Notamacropus eugenii: one gene and its partners. The protein of the gene in region 1 interacts with the protein of each later gene in a pairwise test. Links are inferred from orthologs where the notes say so. Each region holds a gene or a part of one and is shown in the gene's direction. Other genes may lie near its edges. The genes, in order: SDCBP, CDC34, C2H11orf68 and PSMC6.

Evidence for each region.
Region 2: the proteins of SDCBP (region 1) and CDC34 interact in binary tests that used the Homo sapiens proteins (3 or more experiments, as listed by UniProt). The two-hybrid records come from large-scale screens. The link is inferred for Notamacropus eugenii from reciprocal best matches to the Homo sapiens genes SDCBP and CDC34.
Region 3: the proteins of SDCBP (region 1) and C2H11orf68 interact in binary tests that used the Homo sapiens proteins (3 or more experiments, as listed by UniProt). The two-hybrid records come from large-scale screens. The link is inferred for Notamacropus eugenii from reciprocal best matches to the Homo sapiens genes SDCBP and C11orf68.
Region 4: the proteins of SDCBP (region 1) and PSMC6 interact in binary tests that used the Homo sapiens proteins (3 or more experiments, as listed by UniProt). The two-hybrid records come from large-scale screens. The link is inferred for Notamacropus eugenii from reciprocal best matches to the Homo sapiens genes SDCBP and PSMC6.

Annotation. Positions count from the first base shown.
Region 1 is NC_092875.1:277,130,409-277,138,352, forward strand, and holds the start of SDCBP (syntenin-1), read left to right. Parts: upstream 1-4,926; 5' UTR 4,927-5,150; intron 5,151-7,944. UniProt on the Homo sapiens protein: Multifunctional adapter protein involved in diverse array of functions including trafficking of transmembrane proteins, neuro and immunomodulation, exosome biogenesis, and tumorigenesis.
Region 2 is NC_092875.1:69,196,650-69,204,096, forward strand, and holds the start of CDC34 (ubiquitin-conjugating enzyme E2 R1), read left to right. Parts: upstream 1-4,440; 5' UTR 4,441-5,281; coding exon 5,282-5,458; intron 5,459-7,447. UniProt on the Homo sapiens protein: E2 ubiquitin-conjugating enzyme that accepts ubiquitin from an E1 ubiquitin-activating protein, and catalyzes its covalent attachment to other proteins by an E3 ubiquitin-protein ligase complex. In vitro catalyzes 'Lys-48'-linked polyubiquitination.
Region 3 is NC_092873.1:18,628,284-18,635,610, reverse strand, and holds C2H11orf68 (UPF0696 protein C11orf68 homolog), read left to right. Parts: upstream 1-4,313; 5' UTR 4,314-4,407; coding exon 4,408-4,514; intron 4,515-5,172; coding exon 5,173-5,920; 3' UTR 5,921-6,996; downstream 6,997-7,327. Other genes in the region: DRAP1 (dr1-associated corepressor), read right to left, coding at 174-262, 462-552, 1,498-1,617, 1,995-2,088, 3,418-3,490, 3,839-3,880.
Region 4 is NC_092872.1:326,077,989-326,085,593, reverse strand, and holds the start of PSMC6 (26S proteasome regulatory subunit 10B), read left to right. Parts: upstream 1-4,600; 5' UTR 4,601-4,756; coding exon 4,757-4,883; intron 4,884-4,896; exon of another isoform or gene 4,897-5,269; intron 5,270-5,814; coding exon 5,815-5,894; intron 5,895-5,971; coding exon 5,972-6,011; intron 6,012-7,086; coding exon 7,087-7,139; intron 7,140-7,605. UniProt on the Homo sapiens protein: Component of the 26S proteasome, a multiprotein complex involved in the ATP-dependent degradation of ubiquitinated proteins.

The DNA of each region.
Region 1 (7,944 bases):
AGATTAACAGACAGATCCAGCTGTCTGAGCATACTTACATAGTTACCAGAGAGAAGCACCAACATCTGGGTTTTCAAAGTGGGGGGGACTCCCTAGTGGTTGCCCAGAGTCTCATCTGGCCAAACACTTCCAATAAGTAAGCCCCAAAGTTAAACCTCACTTCAGAGTATTTATAAACTTTTCAGAGTCAGAGGGCATCACAACCCTTGAGAACCAGTGCCTCTTTATAAATTAAGGAAAGGTGTGGGTCTCCCCTAATCAAGTTTCTCTTAATGGGCAGGCCCATCAATGGGTGGGGAAGATCTTTAACTCTCATTGGCATTACAAGATCACAGCTGAAAAATGCTATTCCTTATGTATGCATATGTATGTATGTATACACATACAAATGATATATATTTTGAAATAACTGATTATAGAAGGCTACACCTCAATTTTCTAAAGGCAACATTTTCAGGGGGAGGTAAATCCAGCCTATATTTTATCAATACCATAATCCAAATGTGTTTTTTCACATACCCTTGATTTCACAGAATTATTTATCTCAGAATTTCTTTTTAAAAATTTACTACTTGTCCATTTAGACTATACACTCAGTTTTTAAAAAAAATGCTTTGTATGCAACTTTTCAGTAAATTACTCATCATCTAAAGTGAGAAACAGTTCGTATATGTGGAAATAAGTATGTTGCATGCTAGTCAGCTGAGTAGTGGTTTTGCTGTCTTACAAGGAATTGTTCATAATGCTATATGAAATTGCACATAGAGAAAAATAATTTTTTAAGACATTGTTATCATGCGGAGAGACTGTGGTTGATTTGTCATGTGGCTGGCATTAAAAGAAGGAAGGAGTTACATAATCTTACAGATCAAATGACCCGCAAATAATTAACTTTTTAGTAGTTTATTCAAATGAAGACAGAAACCTACAGAACAACAGTCAAAATTGTGTTATAGAATTAGTATTTCAGGTACTTTGCAAATAAAAAAATGAAAATCTTAATTCTCAAAACTGTAAATAAATGTGTAACACAGTGGAGCTTTTATAAAGAGGAATATTTACTTCACTAACATACATACTCTCTGCCTCTCCCATCATGGAGATGCATAATTCCTCCTCCCTCCATACTACCTCAGTCTCTGGGGACAGGAAGGTGATTAGGTTTATAGTTTGGATCCAGTTCCCTTAGAACAAAGTCTCAGGTCAATGTCCAAACGCTTCACTTGGGCTCCAGTCCAAGGTACCCTGGGTTCTGTGGCTTCCCTTTACTGGAGTGGGGGGGTGTAGTGTACAGTTGCACTATCCTACCTGCAATCCTGGCTCCAAGGTGGTTATGGCTTGAACTCCTGGTCCTCTGGGGATCACTTCTAGCACCTGAAACTAGAGACAAACAACAGAGAAGAGAAACAAACACCCTTAGATCCATGTCTTAGAGCCAGAGTAAAAGAGGAAGTGTAGGGGCAAACATCCAGGCTAGGAGTAGCAGCTAGGAGCATAGACAAAAGATGGGAGAGGGAGGAGTAAGAGAGAGAGGACAGAGAGAGACAGAGAGAGACAGAGACAGAGAGAGACAAAGAGACAGAGAGAGAGAGGGAGAGAGACAGAGAGAGAGACAGAGAGACAGAGAGAGAGGAAGAGAGACAGAGCGAGACAGAGAGACAGAGAGAGAGACAGATAGACAGACAGACAGAGAGAAAGAAAGAGAGAGAGGGAGAGACAGAGACAGAGATACACAGAGAGAGAGACAGAGAGAGACAAAGAGAGAGACAGACAGACAGACAAAGAGAGACACAGAGGGAGACACAGAGGGAGAGAAATAGAGAGCCAGAGGAGGCTACCCCACTTATGTGGCAGGGGACCCCATGAGCTCCATGAGCTTCATGTCAGACAAGCCAGGCATGTTCAAAAGCCCACAAACATTGCAAATGTTTATGAGAATTATTCATGTAATGAGTGTGAAGAGGGAAACCCTTTGATCGGTTAGACTAGGGTACTACCTGTAGAGCTAGGCAGGTGCTCTGTTTCTTTTCTGTGGCCATGTACTCTAGCCTGTTTCTGAAGGACATAAGCTTAATTGAGAAACTGTAGCAACACTTGATTGGTCACCAATGATGGGGATTGAGTGAAAGTCGATTGTCAGGAGCAGGAGGAGTTGTATATTTGGTGGATTTTAAGAGGAACTGAGAAGAAATAACTCATGATCTTTTATGGATATGGGAATCTTCCAGTGCTTGCCCTCTCTTGGATTGCCAGCAAGGGGAAGGTGAAGAAGTTCTATCTTCGTCCTAGCCCAACGGCAATGATGACTGCTATCATATGGCAACAACAACATGGTGTTTGCCTATGTGAGCCTGAGTCCTTAACTACTTTTTACTTTTTGTTTTTCCCCTGAGCATAAAATATATCACTAAACCTGAGATATGGACATTTCTAGCCCTTGCTATAAACTCATGAAGTAAAAATGCTGAGAATTATTCAGCTGAGTGATAGCTGACCACTGGGAGGTGATTACCATCGTTACATCTCAGAAGAGAAGAAGTACCACTACCAAGAAGTACCACTACTACAGAAATGCATAAAAAACCCAAGCTATACCTTGGATGGCCAGGAAATTTGTTGTAAGCAGCTCATACCGTGCAGGTTTGATATGCAAACAGAATGTGGGTTTCAGCAGTTTCACAAAATTGTCTTTACCTCTGGGAAGAGAGTAATGTAAGAGACAGGATATTATTTTATGTTTCTGCATTTGTTGATGTGTACTTGCGAGTCTTTTGTGTTTTAAGCACTTTCAGTGATGGTAGAAATAAAAAAAAAATCTTCTCAGTAGGTTTCTACATATTCATAAAATATTCAAAATTTATACTGGTAGAGCCCTCATAGTATAGTACTTCCTCTGGTCTGCTCCCTCAAATAGCAATCGCGAGCTGAGATCACTGAGGAATAACTACCCCAAGTACAACATTTTAAGGGTCCTCACTAGTAGCTTTATGCCTTATAAGCCTCTCCTGAAGTATTCTTCTTCTTAGCTACCTAGAGCACACAATGAGCAGATAATAAAGGAATTGCCCCAGCTCACATAGCTAAGTACAGTAGCAATAAAATGTCCTCCACAAGCTGGGGCATACTCTCCCATAAATATATACTGCATCAGTGCATAAACTTTACAAATAGAATGGAACACAAATAGGGAACCCAAGTGACCAATGCAATCAATACTTCTGGTGCTACAGATTTCCAGTGTCTTCTCAGAACTTCCTGGAGTTGTTGTCCCTCCAGGAGCACAGTATCACTTTTTGGATGAGTTTCCCTTCTGGGCCCCTTAAGCTTTGGGTGATACTCAATAGATCTGATATTTTGCTGTAGTCTCCACTGTCTCTGCCTTTGGACTCAGCCGTAATCGTGGACTAAAGTACAGGTATGCAGTTTGGGGCAGAACTGGAATCCATACTGTAAGATTCACTGAAGCCATCTCCTAAGTAGGATCCTGTCTCCAGCTGCCATATAACTCCTGTTGTTGACTACCATGGACCCTATACTTCCTGACACTGCTAAGTGCTTCTACTTCAAGATGCCATTGTCAACCACGTGGGTGGGGGTGATTCTTTCCTTTCTTTGTGGCACTCTCCAAGATGTACAAGGGAAAATGTAAAGAATGAAAATCTCAAAAGCTGAGTGCTTTCTCCATAACCAACTCTCTTTTGTTCTTGATCCATCTGTTTGCTAGACAGCAGGCTTGGCTCTTGCGCCTCAGGTCCTTCCTGTTTGCCCAAGTCAAAGAGTAGACTACATAACCTTGGGCGAATCACTTACCTTTTCTCAGCCTCATTTTCCTCACCTGAAAAGTGGGAATATAACAGCACTTACTTTACATAAAGGGTTGGGAGAATCAGATGAGTAGGAAGTGCTTTGTAACCCTAAAAGGACTACACAGATGCTAGCTCCTATTCTCGTTACTCTTATTGTTATGCAGAGGAAAGGGCACGCTTATCTTTCCCAAACTTTAACCTAGTTCCCTGTACAAATGGGCTGTTCAGAGTCTGAAGAGGGCACCTCACTACCAGCAGCCAAGTGCCTGACAAGGCTGTGCCCTTTCACGCCTTCCAAGCCATCACTTCCTCCTTACATTCTAAAGTCTCCAAGTAGATGGGGAGCAGAGGCAGAAGTCAATTGTCCTGGGGTTCCTTGACCAACTCCTTTGCTACATTCATATTTTACCTATAATAAAATTATAAGTTGCTTAACATACAGCCGCAATTTGCATTTAGCAGCTAATTAATGATTAGTACTCAGACTTGGGTCCCCTATTACAGAGGGGCTCTGGGGATCCGGGCAATAAGAAGACAGTAAGTGGGGGAAGGGGGGTGTACTCAGACATCTTGATGAATTCGGTTCGGGAGCCTTCCTTAAGCCAAGGCACTGTGCTGAGAGCTGGGTACACAAAGGCAAAGGACGGCCCTCACCCTCAAGGAGCTTACGGGGAGACGAACGTGGACAAGGCACACCACAGCCAGGACCAAGGAGACCTAACTAAGAGGAAGAAAGCACCGGGATAAAGGGGGTTCAGGAAGGCTTCCTGCAGGAGGAAGCCGGAGAGAGGTGGTCAGGGCAGAGACAGGAGATTCCGGAATCCGGGGCGTCGGGAGCGCTTCCTGCGGAGGGGGCGAGTTTAGTTGGGAGGTCAGTGGTCGGATCAATCAACATTCATGACGCGCCCGCTGTGTGCCGGGCGCCTCCAAGGTAAGGATGGAGAAAGCGGAAAGCGGGGAGTCTCCGTCCCCAGGGGGTCGCGGATGGTTTTCCGCCTCCTGCAGGGGCTGAAGGACGCGAGCCAGCGAAACGAGCAGAGGGGACAGTGGCTCTATGCCAAACCACATCCCCTTCCCCCTCTCCCAGCCTCTCAGGCTTAGCCCCGCCCCAAGGTTGTCTTGGCAACCCCGAGGGCGGGGGAGAGTGACCGAGGAGAGTGTCACCTGACCTGGATGTCGGAGAGTGGTCTGCGCAGGCGGGGGGCGGGGCTTAGGGTGGGTGACGTAACTCCCCCGCTGACTGATTGCTCGGTTCCCGGACTTCTCCCTTCCCTGAGGATCGGGAAAACCGTTGCTGGGAAAAGCAGTTGAGACCCGTTGGAGGAGACAGCGGACGACGCTCAGGTGGGCGGCAGGCTTTAGGGGGGGCGGAATGGCAAGGTGACCCCCCCGTCCCGGGCTCGGTGGGTTTGGGGGCGAGGATGGGAAGCCGTAGGACTCACCCCTTGGGGCTGTGAACCCCCGGGGCGGGGCGGAAGCTGCGCTGGGGCTTCATCCGCCCCCCCCCCCAGGAGCCGCGATCCGAATGGGCCCCCGCCCGGGGCTCGGGCTTGGGGGGGGGGGCGCGGAAAGCCGCCGCCCCCGGGGCAGAACCAAGGGGGGGAAGGGCGTGGGCCTCGGGGCACCTCCTCCCGAACCCCCGTTACCTGCGAGAGGCTCAGGAACGGGGGAGAAGCACCCCAAAGAAGCCGGGCTGCGGGCTCGCTCCCCGCCTCTTGGTGGGGCGCCTGGGGCCTGGAGGGGGTGGGGGGCTTGTTGGTTCCGTGGGCGCAGCTTCGGCTGGGGACGTGGAGATGACCCAAGCCTTGGCTCGCCGCACAGACCTTGACTTGGGAGAAGGTGGATCCGGTGGAGGGCACTGCCGGGTGTGGGCGCGGACAGCCCAGAGCCCTCGGCCCTGGGCCCCGGAGCCTGCCTTCCTGACCCGGAGGGCCGGGGGCCGAGAGCCGAGAGTGGTTGTTGACAGTCTTTAGCAGGCGCTTAATAAATGCTGATTGAAGTGTAGAGGGGACTCTTACAACACGGGCTTTTCATTTCAACCGAAATGACAGAGTTTTGACAGGAAATTCCAAGGCTATTTCAAAAGTCTATGTTTCTGGGGCGTATTTTGTGCCAAATTGTAATTTCTATTAATATCTGCGGCTGGCCTCTAGTTGAGGGAAAAGAATACTAGTGACTTATAAAGGGAAAAGTTTTAAATGAATGACCACTCATGGTAGTTATTAGCACAGTTTCTGGCACATAATAGGCACTTAATACAGTGTTAGTTCATTTGACATGTCTTTTTATAGGCTGCAGTTCTGCCTCAAGTATATTTTATAAAGATTGGGTAGTAGCCCTACCCACTGGGTTTAGGGTTTCCTGTTACGCTATATGCAGAAGATGTAGAGAAGATCTTAGTTGTCTAGTCGTTTCATTTTTTTTCTCATCCTAGCTTGGGACTAAAAATGTAGAAAGATAAAAATTGTAACTTCATAGTTTGTTGGTTATCACCAATGAACTCTTAGAGAGCCTGGTAGCCCTACAAGACATTTGAGCTAAATAGTACAAAAGTAAGCAGTATAAAAATTTTAAAAAATTCATCAAGCTTTTCATAAAGATTATTCGGTAACCATAAAATTGTAACCTAAACTAGATTTTGGCTGTTAATTTCTGGTCTTTTTTTTTTCCAAGATACTGGTAGGAATGGTAGTATACCGTACTCCCCAACCAGAATGGGAAAAATCTAATAATAGTAGATAGTTACTGTAGTTAATAAACTATCTCCTTAGAGTTGACTTATCCTCCAGATTTTTGACAGAATTAGGTAGGTGAAATCTATTTTTATCCTTTGGCACTATGTAACCATAAGAAAGTCAATTTAAGTCATTTCTCTGGGCCTCAGTTTTCTTTATCTGTAAACACAAATAGCTGCCATTTCTCTTGTGATCTAGAGTTTGCAAAGCTCTTTACATTCTCACTAAGGTTTTTCTGTTTTGTCCATCTTAAAGAGTATGCTTAAGAAAAACATGAATATCATTTGGGTGCTAGGTTGAAGCAAAAGAAATACTCAAAGGGAATATTAATTGAGACATGAATATATGAACTTACCTCTTGGAACAAGAGTCTGAAATGAACAGGACCAGAGATCTTGATCTTGAACTTTAGAGCTCATCCTGATACAACCCCTTCATTTTACAGATGAGACAGATACAGAGAAGTAGGTTAAGTCTCTTGACTTAACGAAGATCACTAGTGAGCTGGATGAGAAAACAGATGAGGAAATGGAGATGAAGTGATTTGCCCTGATCACAGAGCTAATAACTACTAGCACTGCAAAGTCTAGCACTATTTCTACTATACTCTATTGTCTTTTCATAGTCTAGTTTAGATATGTGGAACATGGAATTTGTTTTTTAAAAAATTACCTTTATGGAACATTAATTCAATTATATGTATATCATAGTTTTCTATTGCCCTTTAGGAAGTATTTATTTTTTCAAAGTTATAGACAAATGAATAGGAAAATGTTTTTTGAGTATGGTAGGAGAACCTTTGGCTTTGGGGTCAGAAGACTGTCACATAGTACCTATGTGACTGGGGGCAAGCCAATTAACCTGCCTGTGATTTACTTTCCCACATTTATGAAAGGAAAGGATTGAACTAGATATTTTCTGAGGTTATTTCCAGCAATATGATCCTATTCTTTCTCATCACTTGTTCCAAGAAGGAAGGTCATTATTCCCTCCTATCCTCCCCCTTTAGTATATCTTTTGTTCCAAGGTCGCACAAAGCTTTCATAATGATGTTTTTATCACGTGAATATATGCTGACATTTAAGATTTGTTGGATATTTCTGGAAATATTTTTTCTGATGGTTGCTTTTAGGCCAGTGGATCATTTGTTAGGTGTCAGGGGTAAACCAGTTTAATTCTAGGTAAGTGGAGAGAGAATATCCCAAGAAAGGAGTGGGTCTGTCTTCTATTCTTGGCATGTTTGTAAAGGTAAAATCTGGTTTAAATGAATGTCAGAGGAATCAAAACCTAGAACATAAATATTAAAAATAACAGTGAGTCAGATAAATGCAAATGGGAAGACATGTTACAAAAGGGAAACTATCCGAGGAAGGTCTCTCGGATTGATAGGTAGGGAGGTTCAT
Region 2 (7,447 bases), about 210 Mb from region 1:
TCCTAGAGCTTGGATCCAGATGGCCTCTGAGGTCAAGGGCTTGGATCCTACAGATTCCTCAAGTGTAATATAAGCCTCTTGAGGACTGTGACTGTTTTTTATTTTGTTGTGGTTGTTTTGTCTTTCATTATTCCCCATGCTTAGTAGGGTACCGGTCTTAAACACACCAGGCACCTAATAAATGTTTGTTGGCTTGGATTGCATTTGTTCATGAATGGATTAGCCAAATGGCCTCTAAGATCTTTTCCAGCTCCGAGATTCTGCGAATGCTATGGAGACCCTTGTCTCTCCACATTCTATGTTTTGACAGTCTCCTTCATTATTTTTTATTAAGATATTTTTATTACTCTTTTTAGTACTTTCCCCACTTAGTAGTATTTTATTTCTTCCAATTACATGTAAAGATGGTTTTCAACATCACTTTCATAAGATTTTGAGTTCCAAATTTTTTTCTTCTTCCTCTCTCCTCTCCACTCCCTAAGGCAATGAGCAATCTGATAGAGGTATGACCGTATTAAACACATTTCCATGTTAGATATATTGTGAAAGAAGAATCAGAACAAAAAGGAAAATCCAAAAGAAAGAAAAAATTTAAAAAGGGAGAGAATAGTCTGCATTCAGACTCCAGAGTTCTTTCTCTGGATGTCGGTAGCATTTTCCATCAAGAGTCTTTTGGAATTGTCTTAGATCAGTATGTTGCTGAGAAGAGTGAAGTCTATCAAACGTGGTCATCACACGATGTTGCTATGACTGTGTACAACGTTCTCCAGGTTCTGCTCACTTCACTCAGCATCCGTTCTTGTAAGTCTTTCCAGAATTTTCTGAAATCTACCTGCTCACCATTTCTTATGGAACAGTAGTATTCCATTACCTTCGTATACCACAATTTGTTCAGCCATTTCTCAATTCATGGATATCCCCTGAACTTTCAATTTTTTGCCACAACGAAAAGGGCTGCTATAAATATTTTGGTCCATATGGGTCCTTTTCCCTTTACAATCTCCCTTATTTTTAACTATCCCCTATATTGGGTGACACAGAGCTGTGGCCCAACCAGCTCCTGCCTCTATCCAGAGCTACATTCCTGCATGCTTTAACTACATCTTGCACAGCTCTGCCTTCTTACTGGCCCCTTCAATCATTGTCTAAAATCCAAATTCAGCTCTTCCTCCTAACGTGCTTATTTCTATTCCAGCCACTGCATTCACCCAAGCTTGCCCCCTCTTTCTTCTTCTTCTTCACATCTCATCCATCACCAAGTCCTGCTGATTCCAAACCCTCAACACTTCTCCTCTCAAAAGACAATGTGACATAGTAGCTGGAGTGCTAGACTTGGGAGTCAGAAAGATCTGAGTTCAAATTCTGCCTCTTGACACTTACTACCTGTGTGACCTTAGGCCAGCCATTTAACTTTGCTGAGTTTCAGTTTCCTTCTCTATAAAATAAGGATAACTTGCAATACAGGCTTCATGGACTATCTTGAGGACCAATTGAAATAATGCATGGAAGGGGCTAGATCATCATAGGTTATTAGAGCACTGGACCTTGAGGCAAGAAGACCGGAGTTCAAATTTGAGCTCAATTAGGTGTGACTCTGGGCAAGTTACATCACCTCTGTCTGCTTCAGTTTCCTCATCTGTAAAATGGACAGCTAGGTAGTGAACAGTAGACATTGTATTGGGTCTAGAATCAGGAAGACTCATCTTCCTGAGTTCAAATCCAGCCTCAGACACTCACTAGCTGTGTGACCCTGGACAAGTCACTTAACCCTGTTTGCCTCAGTTTCCTCCTCTGTAAAATGAGCTGAAGAAGGAAATGGCAAACCACTCCAGTATCTCTGCCAGGAAAACCCCAAATGGGGTCATGAAGAGTCAGAAAAACTGAGGATAAAAATAGTACCTACCTTACAGAATTGTTATGAGGATGAAATGAATTGTTGTGAGATCAAATGTCTCTTTTAGAAATATTATTTTTAACATTCATTTAAACAATTTTTAAAAATTCCAAATTCTTTCCTTCCCTCCCATCCCTCCCCACCCATTGAGAAATAAGATAATATTTTTAAAGTGCCTAGCATAGTGCCTGGTACATAGTATGCATTTTATAAATACCCTTCTCCTCATCCTCTCTCATTATGAACTACTGGCCTCCCTGCTTCTGATCTCTGTCCCTCCAAGTCATTCTTCATAGATCCAGAAATATTTTCTCAAAACATGTCCCTCTTCTATTCAGACACCTTCAATAGCTCCCAACTGCCTTATTAAAAACAAACAAACAAACAATAAAAAAAACCCATCTACCCAACTTATCTTCCCCTGCCTCCCTCTGAGGAATCTTCCTGTTCCAGTCAGACTGGTTTATTACCAGCCTCTAAAACACGCTGTCCACCTCTAGACAATCTCCCCTTCCTCTTTCTCAGAATGTTCCTCCACTGCCTTCCCACATGCTCAACCTATCCAAATCCCTCTAGGCCCAGCTGAAAACCACCTCCTTTGCTGAGCCTTCCTTGATTTCCCCCTTCCTGAACTCCTACACCACCACCAAGTTCATCTTCCAGTGAATCATATCCGGCTTTGTGACAATTCCTCCCTTCTTGTCTTGAGGTTATTTACCTCTTGCCCTCTCACGTAATCTTACCATGTTCATGTGCAAGGTGCCGAGGCTGTAAGTTTCCAAGGGCAGGAGAAAGATGATTCATCAGTCACCTCTTGTCTCTGTTTTGTCTTTCCCCCTATACTGGCCAGGTACTGAATCTCAGAATCTCAGCTGGAAGGCACCAACTAGTTTAACTCAGGCAGAAGCATTAATTCTCTCTCTAGCAAACCCAGTAAGGCCTCTTCCAGCCTTTGCTTGAAGACCCCCAAGGAGGGAGGATCATCCCCTCTTTCTTTTGGATAAAAGAGTTTGTTGCATTTATTTGCAGAACCAAGGGTGTTCAGGATGGAAGGGACCTTAGAAACCAACTACCTCATTTTACAGAAGAGGAAACAATAATTGTCATTTGTACAGGCCATTAAGGTGGACATATTTCTACGTATTATATGATCCTTTAGATAACCCTGTGAGATAAGTACTATGGATTTCATTATCCCTATTTCACAGACTGAGACTCAGAAAAGTTTAGTCCCTTGGACAACCACGGTGATACAACTCATTGGCAAGTGGGGTTCCAATCCAAGTCTCTGCTGATTCTAAGGCTTGTGTCCTCTCCACACCCAGACCATGCTGATCTGAGGCCCAAAGGGAGGAAGGGACCCACAAACAGTGGCTTCATTCCCTCTGCCTGAATGCACTGCGCTAGGGCAGAGGGACGGCTTGTTTATTTTGCCACATGTAGTGGGTATTACCAGCCTGTCTTGGCTGACCCGCTCTGAAGACCTGTTTTGGCAGTGCTGGCATCTCCCCCGTTCAAGGGGGCATAAAAATAAAATGAAAGGGAGTTCACACTGCAGTGCATGAGACCTCATCAGTGCTACAGCAAAGGCCCTTTTACACTGGGGGAAGCACTGATGACTGATACTTTATAGAGAGAGGGGTCATCAGCACTGGAGCGAAGTCCTCAGCAGTGGGTCAACAGGCACCAAGGACAAGAATGCTTGGGCACAGCCCCGCCCCCCCTCCCCTGCACGCATCCTTCCGGATGTGTGTCCCAGCCCAGAAACCAAGGGCACCCTGGCACGTCCTCCTCGAGCGAGCGCCCGCTGCCAAAGCAAACAGCCCCATTCCAATTGCACGCCTGCTACGTGCCGGGCAGGCCCCGCGCTGGGCAGCCCGAGACAACAGCACAAAAGCCTGTCCTCCAGCAGCCTCGGGCGCCCGAGTCACCGCACGGAATCGCGCGTGCGTGCGTCCCGCGTGCGGGCTGCGGGGCATGCTTCTCAGCTGGGCCGGAGGGCTGGAGGAGGGTGGCTCGTCCTCACCCCAGCCCAGTCCTTAACCAGGCTCAGCCTTCGGGCGGAGGCTGGCGGGGACCTAGACCTAGCCTGGGCTCGGTCTGAACCGGGACCCCCTACTGCGCGCGTGCAGCACCGCGCGGCTTCTCTGGAAGCCTCTTAGGGACGGGGAGCTCTCTACTGGCGGGGGCCACCCCCCCCTCCCACCACTACTCCTCCCCCCCGGACCCCCTCCCCGGCCCGCCCCCGGCCCTGGCAGGTCTGCTGCCTCGAGAGCCGACCTCCAGGGCCAAGCTGGACTCGGCGGCTGCCTCAAGCCTTGCAAAATCTCCAGCCCCGGCCTTCTCCTCTCCCGGACAAACACGCCCTGTTCCTTCATAATAAATTCTTTAAAAAAAAAAGTTTGTTGGGTCGGATGGGCCCAGGGTCCGGCCCAGCTGAGCTGACCCGCTTCCCTGTGCCCCGTCCCTACTCGCCTACTACCCGAGCCCCGCCCTCACCAATTCAGGTGAGGGGGTGAAGGACGTCACAAAAAAAACACAAAACAAAACAAAACAACAAACCCAACCACACGGGCCGCCACGGGCTCCAACGCCTACCCATCCCAGCAGCCCCCCGTCCCTGCGTTCCCCCCCCAGCAGAGGTGTCTGGGGGTTGTAGTCCCGGCTGGGGCGGCTGCGGCCTCGGCCTGGGGGCGAAACCCAATCGCGGCTGAGGCGCGCTTGCGCGCTCGGCCCCCCTCTCCTCTCCCCCTAGGATAGGCCGGTCGGGAGGGGGGGGAACGGGCTCGCGGTAGCCGACGGGGTGGCGCAGGCGCAGGCGCAGGCGCAGGCGCGGGCAGAAATAGTCAGGAGAGCAGGAGGGCTAGACAGGCAGAGCGGGAGGGCGGGCAGGCAGACAGGCGGGCAGCCCGGCGCAGGCGCCCCGCCGCCGGCGGGCCGGAGCGGACCACAGTTCCCGGCGTGCCCCGCGCGGGCAGCGGCCTGAAGACAAGGGGAAGGGGAAGTAGAAGAAGGAGGAGGCGGCGGCTGAGGGCGGGCTGAAGGGAGGGCGAGGCAGGGGGAGGAGAAGGCGGAGCGGGGGGCCGGGCTGGGCTGGGCTGGGGGGGGAGCGGGGATCCAGAACGAGTGGAGCGCTCGGGGGTTCAGGGCTCGGAGGCGGCGGCTCCCGGCAGTGGCGGCGGCGGCTCCTCCTCCCCCCCTGCCCAGAGAGTTCGGCCCGGCCCGTCACGCGAGTCCGGGGCGGCCGTGCGGCCTAGTTCCCCCGACGCGGCCCAGCCCGGCCCCTCGACCTCGGCCCCCGCCGCCGCCGCCACCGCTGCCGCCGCCTCCCTGACTCCCGCTGCTGCCGCTGCCGCTGCCGCTGCCACTGCCTCCGCCTCCTGCGCCATGGCCCGGCCGCTGGTGCCCAGCTCGCAGAAGGCGCTGCTCCTGGAGCTCAAGGGGCTGCAGGAGGAGCCGGTCGAGGGCTTCCGGGTGACCCTGGTGGACGAGGGCGACCTGTACAACTGGGAGGTGGCCATCTTCGGGCCCCCCAACACCTACTACGAGGGCGGCTACTTCAAGGTAAGGCAGGGAGCAGCCCGACTTCTTACATGGGAGCCAGGCCCCGGAGAACCCGGCCACCCCGTGGGGTTCCTTTGCCTCCCCCCCACGCCGTGGTAGGTTCCCCAGCTCTGCCCCCCGTGCCATGCTAGATTCCCCATCGATTACCCCCACCCCCCCGATTCCTCATCTATTATCCTGCCCCATGATAGACTCCCCATCTCTTACCCCTCCCATGGTAGATTCCCCAGTCTATTACCCTTCTCCCAGATTCTCCATCTCTTATCCCACCTCCATGGTAAGTTCCCCCATCTTTTGTCCTCCCCCGTAATAGATTCTCCATCTCTTTCCCCGCATATGGTAAGGTTCCCCCATCTCCCCCCACCATGGTAGATTCTCCATCTCTTGCCCCCTTCCTCATGGTAGGTTTCCCCATGTATTACCTTCCACAGTAGATTCTCACATCTGTTACCCCCAAGGAAGATTCCCCGTCTCTTATTCTCCCCCATAGTAGATTCTCTATCTCCCCACCAGGTGGGTTCCCCCATCTCTTACCACCACTCCTCATGATAGATTTCCCCATCTCTTATCCCCTCCTTTGTAGATTTCCCATTTCACCCAATGGCAGGTTCTTCTGCCTTTTTACCCTGTCCCTATATATATATATATAGTTTCCCACCTTCTTTTACACACACCACACATGATGATTGGTTCCCATTCTTTTTTATTTTATCCTCCTATGGTAGATTCTTAGCATTTCTTTCCTGTGAAGGGTTGATTAAACCTCCCTTCTCTATTTATACATATATGTTTATATACATATACATACATACATACATATATACAAGATAGATTATCTTCTCTTTTGTGTTTATGGAGACTGGATTCTATAACACACTTGCAGACACAGGCAAGGTAGATTCTTTTTCTCCCTTTCCCCCCTCCCACACACATGCAGGCCAAATCTTTCCCATATATATGAACACACAAAGAATAAATTCTCACACATTTACACGTGTGTATATATAGCACATTCTCACATGACAGTCTACATATACGTACTACTGTAGAGACACACGTGCCTACTCCATGATAGATTCTCCTGTCTCTTTCACAAGCATTGTAATAGATTTTCACATCTTATTCATGTTCACACAAAAGAAGATTCTCCCACAAAAGAAAGATGATAGTCTCCCATCTATACACACACTCAATAGATTTTTCCCAGATATACATAGGCCCTCATGTACATGGTATTCTCCAACATACACAAGATAGATTTTCTATCCACCCAGGTGATTGATTCTCCCTAGACACAACAACACACATACGTACCTGATAGAATCCACATATATACAACATAAACAATTATGTTATGTGTCTACCTTTCCCTTATAATATGTTCTTTTGTATATGTTAGTCTCACATACATACATGCTAGATTCTCCATACATGCAATATATTTTCATCTTTATCTCATATATAGAATAGATTTCTACATGCACACACATGATAGATTCTCATTTCTTATACACGCATGCATGATCTCTCATCTCTTACACAAGCACACAATAGATTGTCTTATCTCTTTCACACTTGCATGATATTTTCCCTTACATGCACATACAGAATAGATTCTCCCATCTCTTACACACATGCATGATAGATCTCCCATCTTATATGCACACAGGATGGATTCTCTCATCTCTTACACACATGCACACACAGGCAAGATAGATACTTCCATCTTTTACATACAAACACACCAGCAATTTCATCATTTCTTACACATAGCACATGTACACAGAGAATAGGTTGTCCTATGTATTATATACAAAGACTAGATTTTTCCAGCATTTATATGTCCTAGAATTCCTCTATCTTTTACATACACCCATATATACACATGGTTCCCCTCTCTCTTAGACGCACATCACACTAAGTTCCCCTGTCTCGTATAGAAACACACTACATTCCCTTATTTTATTCACATGCACACACTCCTCATGT
Region 3 (7,327 bases), on another chromosome or scaffold:
CACAGGCATCCTCGAGACCAGAACCCTAGAGAACCATGGGTGCTGGGAGGTTGGTGGTATGGACATTACAGACAGGTACTGGGTTGAGCCAGATCCCCTCAACCCCCAGCCTGAGCCACATTCCCCCCCACCTACAATGCTCCCCACTCCTGCCTCCAGGTCGCCAACCTCACCTCTGGAACTGGGCTGTGGGCCGGCTGGATTGGGGTGGGGGCTGTGGCATCTCCTCCTCCCCATCTGTCTCTGTGTCTTCAGAATCATCCTGTGGGACGAATCACAGAAAAGGCTGTCAGACCCCCTGAGCTCAGGGAGAAGGGGCCATGTTGACTGCCCAGGTATATCAGGCAGGGAGAGGAGAAGGCATTGATGGCCTCCTCTCAGAAGCCTGGGGCTCAGTCACTGGACAGACCTAAGGGAGACAGGTCCTGTCCTCAGCTGACAGTCTGATGGGGCTAGCTCACCTCCTGCTCCGAGTCTGTCCCAGACTGCTTCTTATCTTTCCCCTTTCCTCCAGCACCACCGTTTTTCCGGCTGCTCCCAGGCTTCCGGCCCCTAGAATTAGAACCAGAAAGGCCCTTAAAGGTTACTTTAAAAGGTGGAAACACCAAGGGGACAGCAAGTACCATGAGTAGTCCCACGGACATTTATGAATGCGCAAGGTTACAGGGGACACAAAACACCAGGGTCTGACTTCAAGACGTTTCCATTCAGCTCGGCTGTGAGGCTCGAATGAATCAGGCCAGGAAAGCCCTAAGGTGCTTCTTCACAGTGGCTTTGAAACCTTCTTATTCCCAAGGGACCCAGGACAGCTCAGACCTTTGGTCAGAGAGGTATGAAACCATCCATACCCTTTGGACTCATCTACACCACTGAAAAGAACACACTGTATACAAAAGCATCCACAGCAGCTTGCTTAGTTCTGAACCCAAAGTGGAGCCCCTCATCTGGGAAAGGGCGGAACAAAGTATGACGTGAGTATAATGGGATACCATGTGCTGTGAAAAAAGGGACTCTGGGAAGATTTATATGAACTTAAGAAAGGAGGAGAATCAGGTGTGGGTGGGCTTCAACAGTGCAGCAACTGGGCAAGGGAAACTGGCCGGACTTCAGTGAAACCATAAAGAAAGGAAGCCTCCCTCCCCCTTTCCTCCCTTCACCGAGGCAGAGGTGCACAGGTCTGGAGTGCTGTAGGTTCCCAGACTTGTAAGATTTGATCGCGTCTGCTGATTTTGTCTCTTTAAAAATGTTATCTGTTTTATGGGACATTTCTTTGGGAGGAGGTGGGGTGGGGGGATGCCCTGAGATGAACAGAGACAGACAGAGAGATCTGGGGCTTCACAGTGCCTGGCACACGATAGCAAGCTGAATAAATATTTTGTGACTGTTCCACTTTGTATATGGTGCTGGTTAGATTTTGGAAATATTTTCTCTGAAACACAACACCTTGCTAGGGTGGGTCAGAGGAGAATGGGGGAATGTCCTACTGTAGCCCCTTACCTTCGGGTTCCTTTCTCCCCATCCAGGTGATTGTCTTCTCCATCTCCCTGCATGTCGGGCACGGCGGCAACCAGGTCCTTCAAGAAATCAAACTTCTGCTCCAATTCAATACATTGTTTCCTAGGATGGGAGATAACAGGGGCTGAGCTCCTCCTTCAGGCTCCAAAGGAAGGGGGACTTGGGGGTGGGGGGAACTGAAGGGCAACAGAAGCTCTTGGGATGAAGAACTGGAAGGGGCCTTAGGAGCTTTCTAATTTAACCCCCTAATTTTACAGCAGAGAAAACTGAGGCCCAGAACAGGTTTGGCTGAGGTCAGGGGCAGAACAGAGATTCCAATGTGGGTCTTTTGATTCTGAATCAGATGATCTTTTCAAAGGTGAGGGAGGCAGAGGGAAAGGGTGAGGGTGGGGCAAGAAGGAGAATGGAAATGTGTCCTATGGGACCAAGGGGGAAGCCAGAGTTGGGGAGCAGAGTGGGGCCTCCCTGGCAGGACTCACAGGTGACAAGTGGTCATGGTCTTGGCATTCCGAGACTGGGTCACTTGACAGGCTTTCTTGAGAAGGGATTCCAAAAACAGTTCTAATGCCCTGGCTGAGGAGCTGGTCAAGAAAAATCAGGGAAGCCTGACGGAGCCCTGAGCCCCTCAACCCTGGCTTCCTGAGCCCCCAGCCCCACTGTCCCCGGCCACCTGAGCCCCCAGCCCCTCTGCCCTCAACCTCCTGAGCCCCCAGCCCCTCTGCCCTCGACCTCCTAGCCCCAGCCCCACCGTCCCCGGCCTTCTGAGCCCCCAACCCCTCTGCCCTCGACCTCCTAGCCCCAGCCCCACTGTCCCCAGCCTCCTGAGCCCCCAGCCCCACTGTCCCCAGCCTCCTGAGCCCCCAGCCCCTCTGCCCTCAACCTCCTGAGTCCCTAGCCCCACCGTCCCCGGCCTCTTGAGCCCCCAACCCCTCTGTTCTCAACCTCCTGAGCCCCCAGCCCCTCTGTCCTCGATCTCCTAGCCCCCAGCCCCACCGTCCCCGGCCTCCTGAGCCCCCAACCCCTCTGTTCTCAACCTCCTGAGCCCCCAACCCCTCTGCCCTCAACCTCCTGAGCCCCCAGCCCCTCTGCCCTCAACCTCCTGAGCCCCCAGCCCCTCTGCCCTCGACCTCCTAGCCCCAGCCCCACTGTCCCCAGCCTCCTGAGCCCCCAGCCCCTCTGCCCTCGACCTCCTAGCCCCAGCCCCACCGTCCCCGGCCTCCTGAGCCCCCAGCCCCTCTGTCCTCGACCTCCTAGCCCCCAGCCCCACCATACCTGACCTCCTGAGCCCCCAACCCCTCTGCCCTCAACCTCCTGAGCCCCCAGCCCCTCTGCCCTCGACCTCCTAGCCCCAGCCCCACTGTCCCCAGCCTCCTGAGCCCCCAGCCCCTCTGCCCTCGACCTCCTAGCCCCAGCCCCACCGTCCCCGGCCTCCTGAGCCCCCAGCCCCTCTGTCCTCGACCTCCTAGCCCCCAGCCCCACCGTACCTGACCTCCTGAGCCCCCAACCCCTCTGCCCTCAACCTCCTGAGCCCCCAGCCCCTCTGCCCTCGACCTCCTAGCCCCAGCCCCACTGTCCCCAGCCTCCTGAGCCCCCAGCCCCTCTGCCCTCGACCTCCTAGCCCCAGCCCCACTGTCCCCAGCCTCCTGAGCCCCCAGCCCCTCTGCCCTCGACCTCCTAGCCCCAGCCCCACCGTCCCCGGCCTCCTGAGCCCCCAGCCCCTCTGCCCTCGACCTCCTAGCCCCAGCCCCACTGTCCCCAGCCTCCTGAGCCCCCAGCCCCTCTGCCCTCGACCTCCTAGCCCCAGCCCCACCGTCCCCGGCCTCCTGAGCCCCCAGCCCCTCTGCCCTCGACCTCCTAGCCCCAGCCCCACTGTCCCCGATCCTCCCCGGCGGCCCAGGATACAGATGATGACTGGCACAGCCGCCGCCACCTTGCCGATCTCCTCGTCCGTCTGCATGATCTTCTTGATTCTGGCCTTGGGGTGGGGGAGGCAGAGATCAGCTTCGAGGAGGGGTACCAGGGCACCCCCCTCCGGAACCTCCATCATCGAAGGATGTCCGGGCGCTGGGCCGGGGGAGAGGGCGGCCCGGTGGTGCAGCGGGGACGGGAGCGGGGACCGCTGGGGGCCCAGGTGTGGAGCGAGAGCCGGGGGAGGGGCAGGGGCCGGGGCGGGGGTCCCAGGGTGGGGAGGAGCTGGGGGAGGGGCCCCCGGGATCCCTGGGCGGGGCGGGGTGGGACCCGAGGGAGGGGGCGGCTACGGGCCGGGCCAGGAGGGCCCAGACGGGGCCGGGGCTGGGGGCGGCCGCGGGGGCCGGGTCCTCACCGGTGGGAAGCGCGCGTTGTATTTCTTCTTTTTGCTCGGCATCTCGTGGCCTCCTGCTGCCGCCGCTGCTCTCGCCGCACCTCGGCCTCGGCCCTCCGGCCCCGGCCCGGCTCCGGCCCCGGCTCCTCGGGCTCCTCGGGCTCCGCCGCCGCGGCTCCTCCGGCTCCGGCTGCGGCCCCACCCGGGTCCTAGCGCCGGGCCTCTCCGGCGCCTCCGGGTCCTAGCGCCGAGCCGCCGCTCGCTCCTCCGGGTCCTAGCGCCCCCGCCACCGCGGACGCTCCGCCCCGCCTCGCTCCTCGCGGCCGCTTCGCTCCGGCACCTCTCCTCCTACAGACCCGCGGAGGACGACGTTCGCCCCGCCTCCCTGCTGCGGGAGGAACGCCTTCAACGGCCCCGCCCTCCGCGAGTTCACGCCTCCGCGGAGGGGCCCTGCTTCCCATTGGTCGCGTCCTCTGCCACGTCCGGAGGAGTTTCGCTCCCCCGTCCCCCCGCCCCCTCTGTCCTGGCTGTCCACGACCGCGGCCGGCGGTTGCCGATAAAGTTGTTGTTGAGGCGGCAGGCGGCCCAAGATGGCGGCGGCCGTAGGGTGGGCGGAGCGGAGGGCCCGCGGCGGAGAAGAGCCCCGGAGAGAGCGGGGGCCAGGCCGGGTTGGCACGGAGAGGAGCGAGAGGCGGAGGTGACTGGCTCTTGAGGGCAGGCAGCGGGGTCGCGAGACCGGAGACTCGGGCCAGGGCAGCGGCCGTGGCGGGGCGTGTACGGGAGCCGGGAGGGGCCAAGGCCGGGGGGAGGGGCGGGGAAGAGGCGAGCGGCGGCGAGCGCCTCCTCTGGCGGGGGAGGGGAGGCGGGGCTCGGAGGAGCCGGAGGGGCGGGGCCGACTGTGGCTCCCCGAAGGCGAGCTGGCGACTTGGCTGGGATCCATCCGAGGGCTTCTCTCCTTTAAGAGCTGGGGGCGGGGGCTTAGTGATTGGGATCGTCCTCTAGCAGCCAGGGCCGAGCGGGGGTTGCCGTGCGCTTTCCCTGCGTTCATTCATTCGGGTCTCCCCACCCCCTGGGGAGGGGCAGGGGCTAGCATCATCCCGATTTACTGACGGGGATACCGGGACAGGGAGCAGCCACGTGAGTGTCCGCATTTGAACTCGGGGCTTCCCAGCCTCGAGCCGGCGCTCCACCCACTGGGACACCCCGCCCTCTGTCCCTAAAGGGCCACAAAGAGCGGGATGGTAGGATGGCACTGCAAGGGACATCCTTTACAGGGGGAGGGGTTCTTGACCCTGCTGCAGGCACCCAGCTCGCAGGTGGGGGTTCCGGGGCCTCACCTTTCCTCCTCCCCGCAGGATGGAGCTGCCGGAGGAAGAGATCCCCCCTGGGGGCCAGGAGGATGGCTTCACGGCCGAGCATCTGGCTGCTGAGGCCATGGCAGCCGACATGGACCCCTGGCTGGTCTTCGATGCCCGCAGCACCCCGCCTTGTGAGCTGGACTCCTGGCTGGCTGCCTACCCTCCTTCTCGTGTCTCTCGCTATGGGGGCCCCAGCGCTCCCAATCCCAAGCCTGTGGGCTGGATTGCAGTGTATGGGCCTGATTTCTCCCCTGGAGCTGGGGATGTCCAGGGACTGCAGGGGGCTTGGGAAGCCCTACAGGCCAGCGGGCGGCCCATCACACCTGCTATTCTGCGGGAGTTGGCCCTCACTCACCAGGTCCTGACCGGCAAGTGGCTGATGCACCTGAGCCCCGGCTTCAAGCTGGACCATGCATGGGCTGGCATTGCCAGGGCTGTGGTGGAGGGGAAGCTACAAGTGGCCAAAGTGAGCCCCCGGGCCCAGGAAGAGGAGCGTCAGGTCATCTGTGTCTACACAGAGGACTTCACAGACCAGGAAGGAGTGCTGAAGGCTGATGCCGCCATCCGGGCAGCTGGGGTCAAGTGCCCACTGACCTATAAGCCAGATGTCTACACCTACCTAGGAATCTACCGTGCTAACCGCTGGCACCTCTGCCCTACCCTCTATGAGAGCAGCTACCACCTGGAGAGTGACCCCCACTACTCCCGAGTCCTGGACAGGCTCAACAACACAGCACTGACTTAGGGGGGGTGGGCACTCGGGTGCTGGGAGCCAAGACATCTAGGGTGGGGAAGGCACAGACAATCATTCCGGCCCTCTGGGGCAGCTCTCTGGCTCTTAAATCAGTCCCCATGGCAGGGCGGTCTGCCTTCCTGGCTTTGGGGACCAATGTCAGGCCTCAGGAAAGGAGGGGAGGCAGAGACGTGACATTATTCCCTGTGTTGGTCCAGTCGATGGAGGGCCAACGGGACCCTGTTCCTCAGAGTTTCAGTTACTTGCCCAGAGCCTTGACTGGGCTCCCTCCACCTGCTTAGAGCTACTCCACCCCATCCCTGGATGGCAAAGCACCTAGGAGTTGGTGGAGTGTTGCATCTTGGGATTGGTAGTCCTGAGTGTGGACGGGGCCACCAGCAGGGGGGGCCCGTGGGGTAGGTGCCTGCTGCTCCCTGCTCTGCCTGCAGTTCCTACAACCCGTTCCTCTACTATTCCTTCCCTGGCTTCAATAAAGCCCACCTTTGTTTTCAGCCCACCCCTCCCTCCTGCTCCTCTGGTTGTCAGATCCAGGTGGCAGCTGGTCAGCTCTGATGTGATGAGGAATGGGGTTAGGAGGCTTGCTGGGACCAAGGAAGCCACAAGCCTGACTGTGTGCTTCTGGTTTTCAGCCACCACTTCCAGGATCAGCTTGATGATGCTCTGGCATGAAAGCCCCTCACAAGTGCCAGTCTTCTGACACTTTATTCCTTCCCTCAAATCTCATAATCCAGGTATTGGTCTGTTCTTGCACAGGCGGTACCACCTCCCAACTCCAGGCCTTTGCAAAGCCTGGTTGTGCCCCGTGCCTGCAGTGCTCTTTCTTCAACCTCTGCCTCCTGCCTTCCCCAGCACCTTCACTGCCTTCCTTTCCTTTACACTGTATATATCTTGTGTCCCAGTCATTAATACGATGTCTCTTCCATTTGAATGTGAGCCCCTGGAGGGAGGGATGCTGTTTTTTGCTTTTCTTTGTCTCCACAGCTTTCCTTTGTCTGCACTTAGCACAGTGCCTGGTGCCTAGTGAGTCCTGAATAAATGCTTGTTGACTGACTGAGTCCTGCAACAACTTTGCTCGCTGCCTTGTGGTACCTCTAGGCACGTAGTAGTTTACAGAGAGCTTTCAGTATATTCTCATTTGATCCCCAGAACAGCCTTGTAGGGAGCGTAGTGAGTATCCCCATTTTACAGATAAGGAAACTGAGGCACAGAGGTCACATGACTCAAACCTATGTCTTCTAGCTTCCAATCCAAACCTCTCTCCTGCCTCTCAGGGCAAAACTTAATTTAAATCAACAAGCATTTATTATGTTCCCAGAAATGGGCACGAGGCTCTATGCCCCATGCTGGGCATAAAAAGAAAAATGAACAGCCTGCTGCCCTCAAGGAGCTTTTGTTCTA
Region 4 (7,605 bases), on another chromosome or scaffold:
TAAAGGAGGTCCTTGTATTGGTGGTTGCCTACTCTACCACACTAGGGCTCAGAATCTCCCACTAGATTTCTGAGATGGGGCTTGTGGGGCTACTTCCTGTCCTTAGACAGGCTCCCCTTTTATCTTAGTGAGACAGGCCTTTCTTACTGATCCTTCAAGTTTCCCAGGCTAAAAGATGTAACCCATCTTTCCACTGGGTCTGCTGTTCCAAAATTTGTTCTGGGGCACTATTTTATGGCTGTTCAGTGGTGATCATAGGAGAGTGACAGTGATTCACTCTTTACTCTGCCACCTTAGACCCTGGAACTCAGCATTAGAAACTCTTTACAACTTTTCACAGCACTTCTTACCTTTCCAGTCTTCTTATACTTTATACACATTCAAGTATTCTATGATGCCGTTACACTGATCTTGTTCTTTACATGCAACACTCTGTCTCTGGATTCTGTGTTTTGGATTGGCTGCTCCCCATGTCCAGAATACTCTGCTCCCTCACCTATGGCTCTTAGCTTCTCTGAATGTATAAGTAACCACACTGGTATACTCAGGATGGCTGCTAGCATATGTTTTTGGATCTACTTTACTAGGAAAGATAGCTGTTTAAGGGGTCAACAATCCTTTGTCATTACATTCAGAAAATACAAACAAAGAAAGTATAAACAGAGAAATAAAGACCAACAGACAGTGCTCTACTTCCTGAATCAAAGCAATATTGCTATATACTTTACATACACCCTTGGATCGAGAGAGCCTTTACATCTGAGTAGTCAGAGGGTCTGAACATATGATGACTCAGAGTCTTGACCAGGGAATCACAAGATTCTTCTCATAAGCAAACCCCCAAAGTAAAATACCAGCCTCCCAGTATATATAACAAAGATTTGGCTCCTGATTGACTCAAAGTCAGTAGGCATGAAACCTACATGACTTAGCACAGCTGTGAACTATCAGGGTTCAAAGGAAATTGAGCCTTCAGATGTTCTCAATTTAGCCTGAGTTTGGGAAACTGAACTCCAAAAAGAAAACAACAAAAAATCCCACTTTGCTTGCTGTTAAACTGGACTCCTCCAGATTCACCTCAGTGTTTATCTTCTACTCACAACCTTCCTTCAACTGCTAGTGCCTTCTCTTATGAGATTACCTCTCACCTACTCTATATTTATCTTCAGGGTACACAGTTATTTATAAATTATCTTTTTCTGCAAAATGTCATCCTCATCCAGAGAAAGAACTATGGAGTCAGAACACAGAATGAAGCAGACTATTTTCTCTTTTGTTATGTTTGGTTTTGCTTAGTTTTACTCATACTTTCTCCCATTCGTTTTAATTCTTCTATGCAACATGACTAATGTGAAAATGTTTTTAATAAGAATATATGTGTACAGCCCATATAAGATTGCATACTGTCTTGGGGAAGGAGAAAAAATTTAAAACTTATGGAAATAATTGTTAAAAATTGAAAACAAATAAATAAATTTGGAGGAAAAAATAAAAATTAAAAGATTATCTTTTTCATTGGAATATAAACTTGTTAAAGGCAAGGTCTAGTTTTTATCTTTCTTGTTATCCCCAAATTTTAGCACAGTGAGTGTCTCTGGCTTATAGTAAGCACTTAGTCAATGTTGACTGATTGAATTACATGGAGGTTATGTAAAAAGAGAGAAAAGGATAGATTCAAAGAATACTGTAGAACCTGGAAACATCAAATATGGTGGGGAGAGTGAGAAATAAAAGTTGACTGAATTTGTAAAACTGGATGACTAGGAAGACAACGTTAGTCATCAGAAATAAGGAAATTAGGGAGAACTGGTTTAAGAAGAGTCCTCTTTTGCCTTTAACATGTTTATAGGACATTCATGGGATATATCCAAAAGGCAGGCAGTTTAGTGATATAAGTCCAGGATTATATGGGGGCAGTCTGTCAAAGGAAATAGGAAGGAATGGGACTAAGGGTTTAAATATTAGGGTGATCCCTGACAAGAAGAGAGGTGACTTCTTTGGCAGAGACTGGAGTAAAGGAGAGAATGGGTATCGCACAAGAGTTACAAAGGAATTTTCAAGAGGATACGTAATATATAAGTTTTAATATCTGGGTTTTAGGAGATATGAACAGGTTTTAGGAATGACTAACCCACTCTTACCTTCTACTTGATTGTTACATCCTGGTTTCTAAGATAATCAAGGGCTATGTTCTCACATTCCCCCATAAATTACCAAAATTGCAACACTCCTCTAATTAGCCAATTAGCCCTTAATCTTTCCTCAATTTATTAAAAATTATTAAACTGGACAAACCCCCTTCCTCATAAACTTCCTCTCCTGTCTTGTCCTGTCCTCTCCTCTCCCCCATTATCTTCTAGTCTTAAAAAAAAATTCTATAATTATAACATGAAAATGTAACAAATAACATAACAAAGAGAAATAATCATATACAATGTATCTGTTGGGAGACAGGAAGACCATAGCCAGAATGAATCACTTTTCCAAATCCAACTGGAAATTCAAAATTACATAGCTAGTTAGTGGAAGAGTCATAGTTGATTAGAGGTTAGAGGTGACTATGGTGAGAGTAGTTTCACTTGAATAATGAAGTCAGAAGCTAGATGCCAGGGGTTGAGAAGTGAGAAGAAAGTAGTATAAACTCTCTTCCCTGCTCATCCTGAATTCCTTATTAAATGCCAAAGTCTTTTCCCAAGAATTAACTTCATAATATTTATTTCCAAGACAAGAGTTAAACTCAATCCTCACAAGAAATGCCTCTTTAGACCTTTTCTCCTTGACATTTACATCACTCCCTCTCAGGAAAGAAGACTTTATTCTGTCCTCCACAGGCATCACAGTTAATAGTATCTCCAGAATAAGCATTAAAGTAAAAGTCATCACTCATAGACTTCTCACAGATAACAGATGAAACAGTAACTCCCCAAGATTCCATTCATTATTAAAGATATAGTAACAGTATCTAAGTCCCTATGGAAGGGGCTGGTGAAGCTGCGGTTACATGGTTACCAGAAGTGTTTAGGAGTTTTTCTAAAAAAATCAAACAATAGAATACAAGGAGGCTGCCTAAATAACTCAGTTACAAAGTGAGAAAAAAGTTCCTCAGTAAACCTGATGGAATTATAAAGCACTGACCAAAGGATAGACAACTGATGAAACAGAGAAATACAGCCATCATCTGTCTGTAGGATCAGTCATGCCCCTGGTGGACTTTAAAAAAGCAATAGTCAGCTGTGAAGTGACAATTTGCTTTTCACTTTTTCTGTTGTGCCTCAGTGAAAGCTGGGGGTGGGGGGAGGATTCTTTCTCTTTCCTCCCATCCCTCCATTGACAATGACATCTTATAAGCAGAAACATTGTGGTAATGTCAGTTGGAGAGGAGTACATGTAAAGAGTCAAGTTGGCAAGAAGAATTGAGAGGCTGGTGTTTGAAGCTGAAATCCTGCTCAACAAGTATCAGGCCTAAGAACTGAAACTCCTGGTGGTCATAGTGATTTACCCAGCAGAGGTCCCATGAAGAGCAGTGAGAACTTCATGAGAGACATCAAGCAAGGAGAGACTTTGGAAGTCTAAATTGTTTAAGTAACACATTCCCTATTTATGTGCTTTCCACAAGAAGTGACCAGTCTTCCTACTATTGCTGTTTATATTGCTGTCATGATACCTCTCAGGATTATGAAGAAGTTGTGTCGCTATTTTTTCATATCATGCCTTTGCTTTGAGCTAATTGTATCCTGCGGACAGCTAGGTGGTGCAGTGGGTCCATGGATAGAGTGCTGAGCCTGGAATCAGGAAGACACTCCACATGTGCTTTCCAACATTGACTAGCTGTGTGACCCGTGGGCAAGTCACTTAGCCCTGTTGGCTTCAGTTTCCTCCTCTGTAAAATGAGCTGGAGGAGGAAATGGCAAACCTCTCCAGTAGAGATGACAAGAAAACCCCAAATTGGCTCTCCAGTCGACAGAACTGAACCACAACAAATTGTGTCCTGTGGCTAACTACAGAAGGGTAAGGGGGGAGGGCATTTGGGGGGAGCCCTTGGGGGTGGATTGTGGTGAGTTCAGAAATACAGACCCACGGAGTGCAGTGGCAGAGTCTCCCAGGGCCACTGAGGCAGGGAAGGGAGGTCTAAGAGGGTGCCTATGTATGTAAAGTGCTGTGTCAGCAAGTGCTGTATAGACACTGTTCACTGACTCAGGATTATTGCCTTTCCTGATTTCCTAGGAAATTAGTAATGATGCTAGCTGTGTGCAAAGGGGAAAAACCCTAAGTTTCAGAAATGGGGCTATCAACTACTATTACAAAGAGCCTCACGCGCTTGAAAAATAAGGTTAAGCTGTTGTATAAGATGATTGGCAACCGAGACATGTTTGGAAAAAACGTTCTTTGTTTCTCTGATTTTTTTTTTCAGTCACTGTTAACTCAAAGTTCTCTTTTCCAGAGGCAGGAGTCAGGCTATGTCTGAAGCCTCAGAGGACGCCCAGGAGCGGCTTCTTGCTATTTGCAGCCTTTACCAGAAGGGGACGGTGTACGGGGAGGTCAGCAGCTCAGCTTCGCGCGGGGGAGGAGTCTTGCCTACCCGGAGAGAGCCGAAGTGCCTCCTGGGAAAGAGGGTGGGAGGTGGGAAAAGAGGGGAAGGAGGAGGAGATGTGGGTGGGGGGAACCTGGGTAGAGAGGCGGGGCGTATCGTGTCAGTTCCTTTTTTCCCTCCTCCTCCCCTCCCGTCCCCGCCCCTCTCCCCCCCGCCCCGGCGGCCATGGACATTCCCAGCATCCCCTATGAGAGGCGTCTTCTCATCATGGCGGACCCGAGAGATAAGGCTCTTCAGGACTACCGTAAGAAGCTGCTCGAGCACAAGGAGATCGATGGGCGCCTCAAAGAGTGTAAGTATTCTACCTTGGTACGGACTTTGGGGCCCGCTCTCCCTGCTCCTCTCTTCGCCGAGGGGAGGCCACCTTCTGGGCAGGCTTTTGAACGACAAGACCCGGGCTGTAGCACAAGGCGCTTTGTCATCGTGCCGCGAGCCGCGGCCGCTCCGAGCCGGCGGCGGCCTGGGGGGGGGATGCCGACCGAGCCCCGGGGGCACGGGAGGAAGCCCACCCGACGGGCGGAGAAGGGGGAAAGGGCCTGTCCCGCTGCAGTTGAAGGCCGAGCGTAGTGGAGAAGGTGCCTGGGCCCGAGGACGACTCACTTTAGGAGGCAGAGGCTCTTGCTCTAGGCCCCGAAGGGGACGGGAGCTGCAGGGGCTTAAGGAGGGAAGCTCTGGAATGCAGAACGCCGGGGCACGGCGAGAGCTACGCAGCTCAGCTGAGGGGATGTACGTGTGCTTCTGGGCAGAAACAATCAAGACTTGTGGTTCTTGTGCTGGACCCTGTCACCCGTTCTCAATGCACTTAGCTTTTTTACCGACCATTCATCTCCTAAACGAAAGGGATGTCAGCATTTCTTTTTAACACATCTTATTTTTATTGATCATTTGATCGGAATAGCAGAATCTTGTGCTTGGGTTACAGGATGATGAGGATGCAATATACTTTGAATTGGAGGCATGAAAACTATCATTCCTAATTTGTCAGTATATGTAAACAACCATTGATAAGAAAACCCATTAGCCAGTGGAAACTAAGATCATCGAATACATAACCCTTAAAAGTCAGGTTGCTACTTGACTTAAAATCAACAATCATTCATTAGAAACAGACAAATTAATAAATGTTTCTTTGTACAATCTATCGGTATTTTAATAAGAAATTTGAGATGTCACAGATACATTTGATAAAACAATTGTTTAATATGCTAGTTGTTTTATTTCAGTAAGAGAACAGTTGAAAGAGCTTACCAAGCAATATGAAAAGTCTGAAAATGATCTGAAGGCCTTGCAAAGTGTTGGGCAGGTAAGTTGTTGATTTGGTTGTAATTTTGGCTACTGCAGGTAATTACATTAAATAATGACACTTTTTTTCTTTTGTAGATTGTGGGTGAAGTACTTAAACAATTAACAGAAGAAAAATGTAAGTAGATGGTCAAAATATACAAAATACATACAGAAATATGCTTTTCCTTTGAAATATATCGAATAGTTTGAAAGAACAATTTGACAAGCTGGTTTTTCTTCGAGTAGTGGTTTCTGAATTGTCATTTTTAATTTGGATGATTTAAATAAAGTAACATTCCCTCCTACAGATATCTTTTTAAAAACATTATACACATGTGTATATATCCATATTATGAACTTGACATCACAAACATGGATTTTCCATATATGACAAGGTCAGAAAAAAGAAACTGTACCACATATAGCTTTGTAGTTTTTTGCGTATTTCAGTTTTAACATAGTATTACCCACATTGCCCATTTTGAATGTGTCCCCATCTGAACTTGCTTTAATGTGTATGTTTTGATGATGTTTTCTTTATTTTTTTGGATGATGTTTTTTCTTTTTTTTTCATGACTTGCGGCTTTGTGACAAATGAATATAATCAAACAAAATGAATTTGTGTTGTATTGGTTGGTCTGAAGACATACAGACATACATATACATATATATATACACACATACACACACACATATACATATCTCATTCAGTTGCCTACAGTCTATTTTTTCTGTGCCAAAAGAGAAAAATATGATTTATCATTAGACTTTTGGAGTTGTGATTAGTTACTGCCTTGATCAGAGTTTTTAAGTCTTTCACAGTTGTCCTCACATTGTAGTCAGTGTATAAATTTTTCTTCTGGCTTTGTTCACTTCCTCTAGGTTTCTCAGAATCTGTCCCATTCATCATTTCTTTTGGCAGGATAATATTCCATTATATTTATGTATCAGAATTTGTTTAGCCATTCCCCAAATAATGGGCACTCACTTTATTTCCAGGTTTTTGATATAAAAGGTGCTACCGTAAATAATTTTGTACATATAAAGAAGACCTTTTCCTGTTTTTAAAAAAAATAAATTTTGAGTATATGCCTAATAAGGATATTGGGATGAAGACATATGCACAATTTTAGTGACTTTTGGAGTATTGTTCCAAATTGCTTCTTGCAAATGTCTTTAAAAAATAATTATGGCCTTTTTTTCTTTTCTAGTCATTGTTAAAGCAACAAATGGACCAAGATATGTTGTGGGTTGTCGGCGTCAGGTAATTCAGTTTTACCTTTTTTCTTATTTGACCAAATATTCAGTGAATAAATGAATAAATATCATAAATTTAGAAATAATACAATTTTAGAGCTACTCCCATTTTTTTAGATACAAAAATTAAGGCATGCAGAAGTTTGGTGATATTCAAAATTACACAGCTAGTTACAAGTTAGGATTTAAACTCTTAATTCCCAATCCTACGTTTCAAAGCAGTATTAAGGTTTATAGTATTCAGGGAAGCCAAATTTATTGTTCACTTTAGGAAGCCATTACTTTCATTTTCTTACCTCCTGTTCACTTCTTGACTTTTTGCAGTCAGAATTGTGATCCCACTACTATACTAAAACTGATCTCTCCTAAGATTATCAGTAATTTATTAATTACTGAATCTGATAGCTTTTTTTCAGTCATTAGCCTTAACCTCCCAGAAACTTTTGACACTACTAACTATATATCCTTTCCTG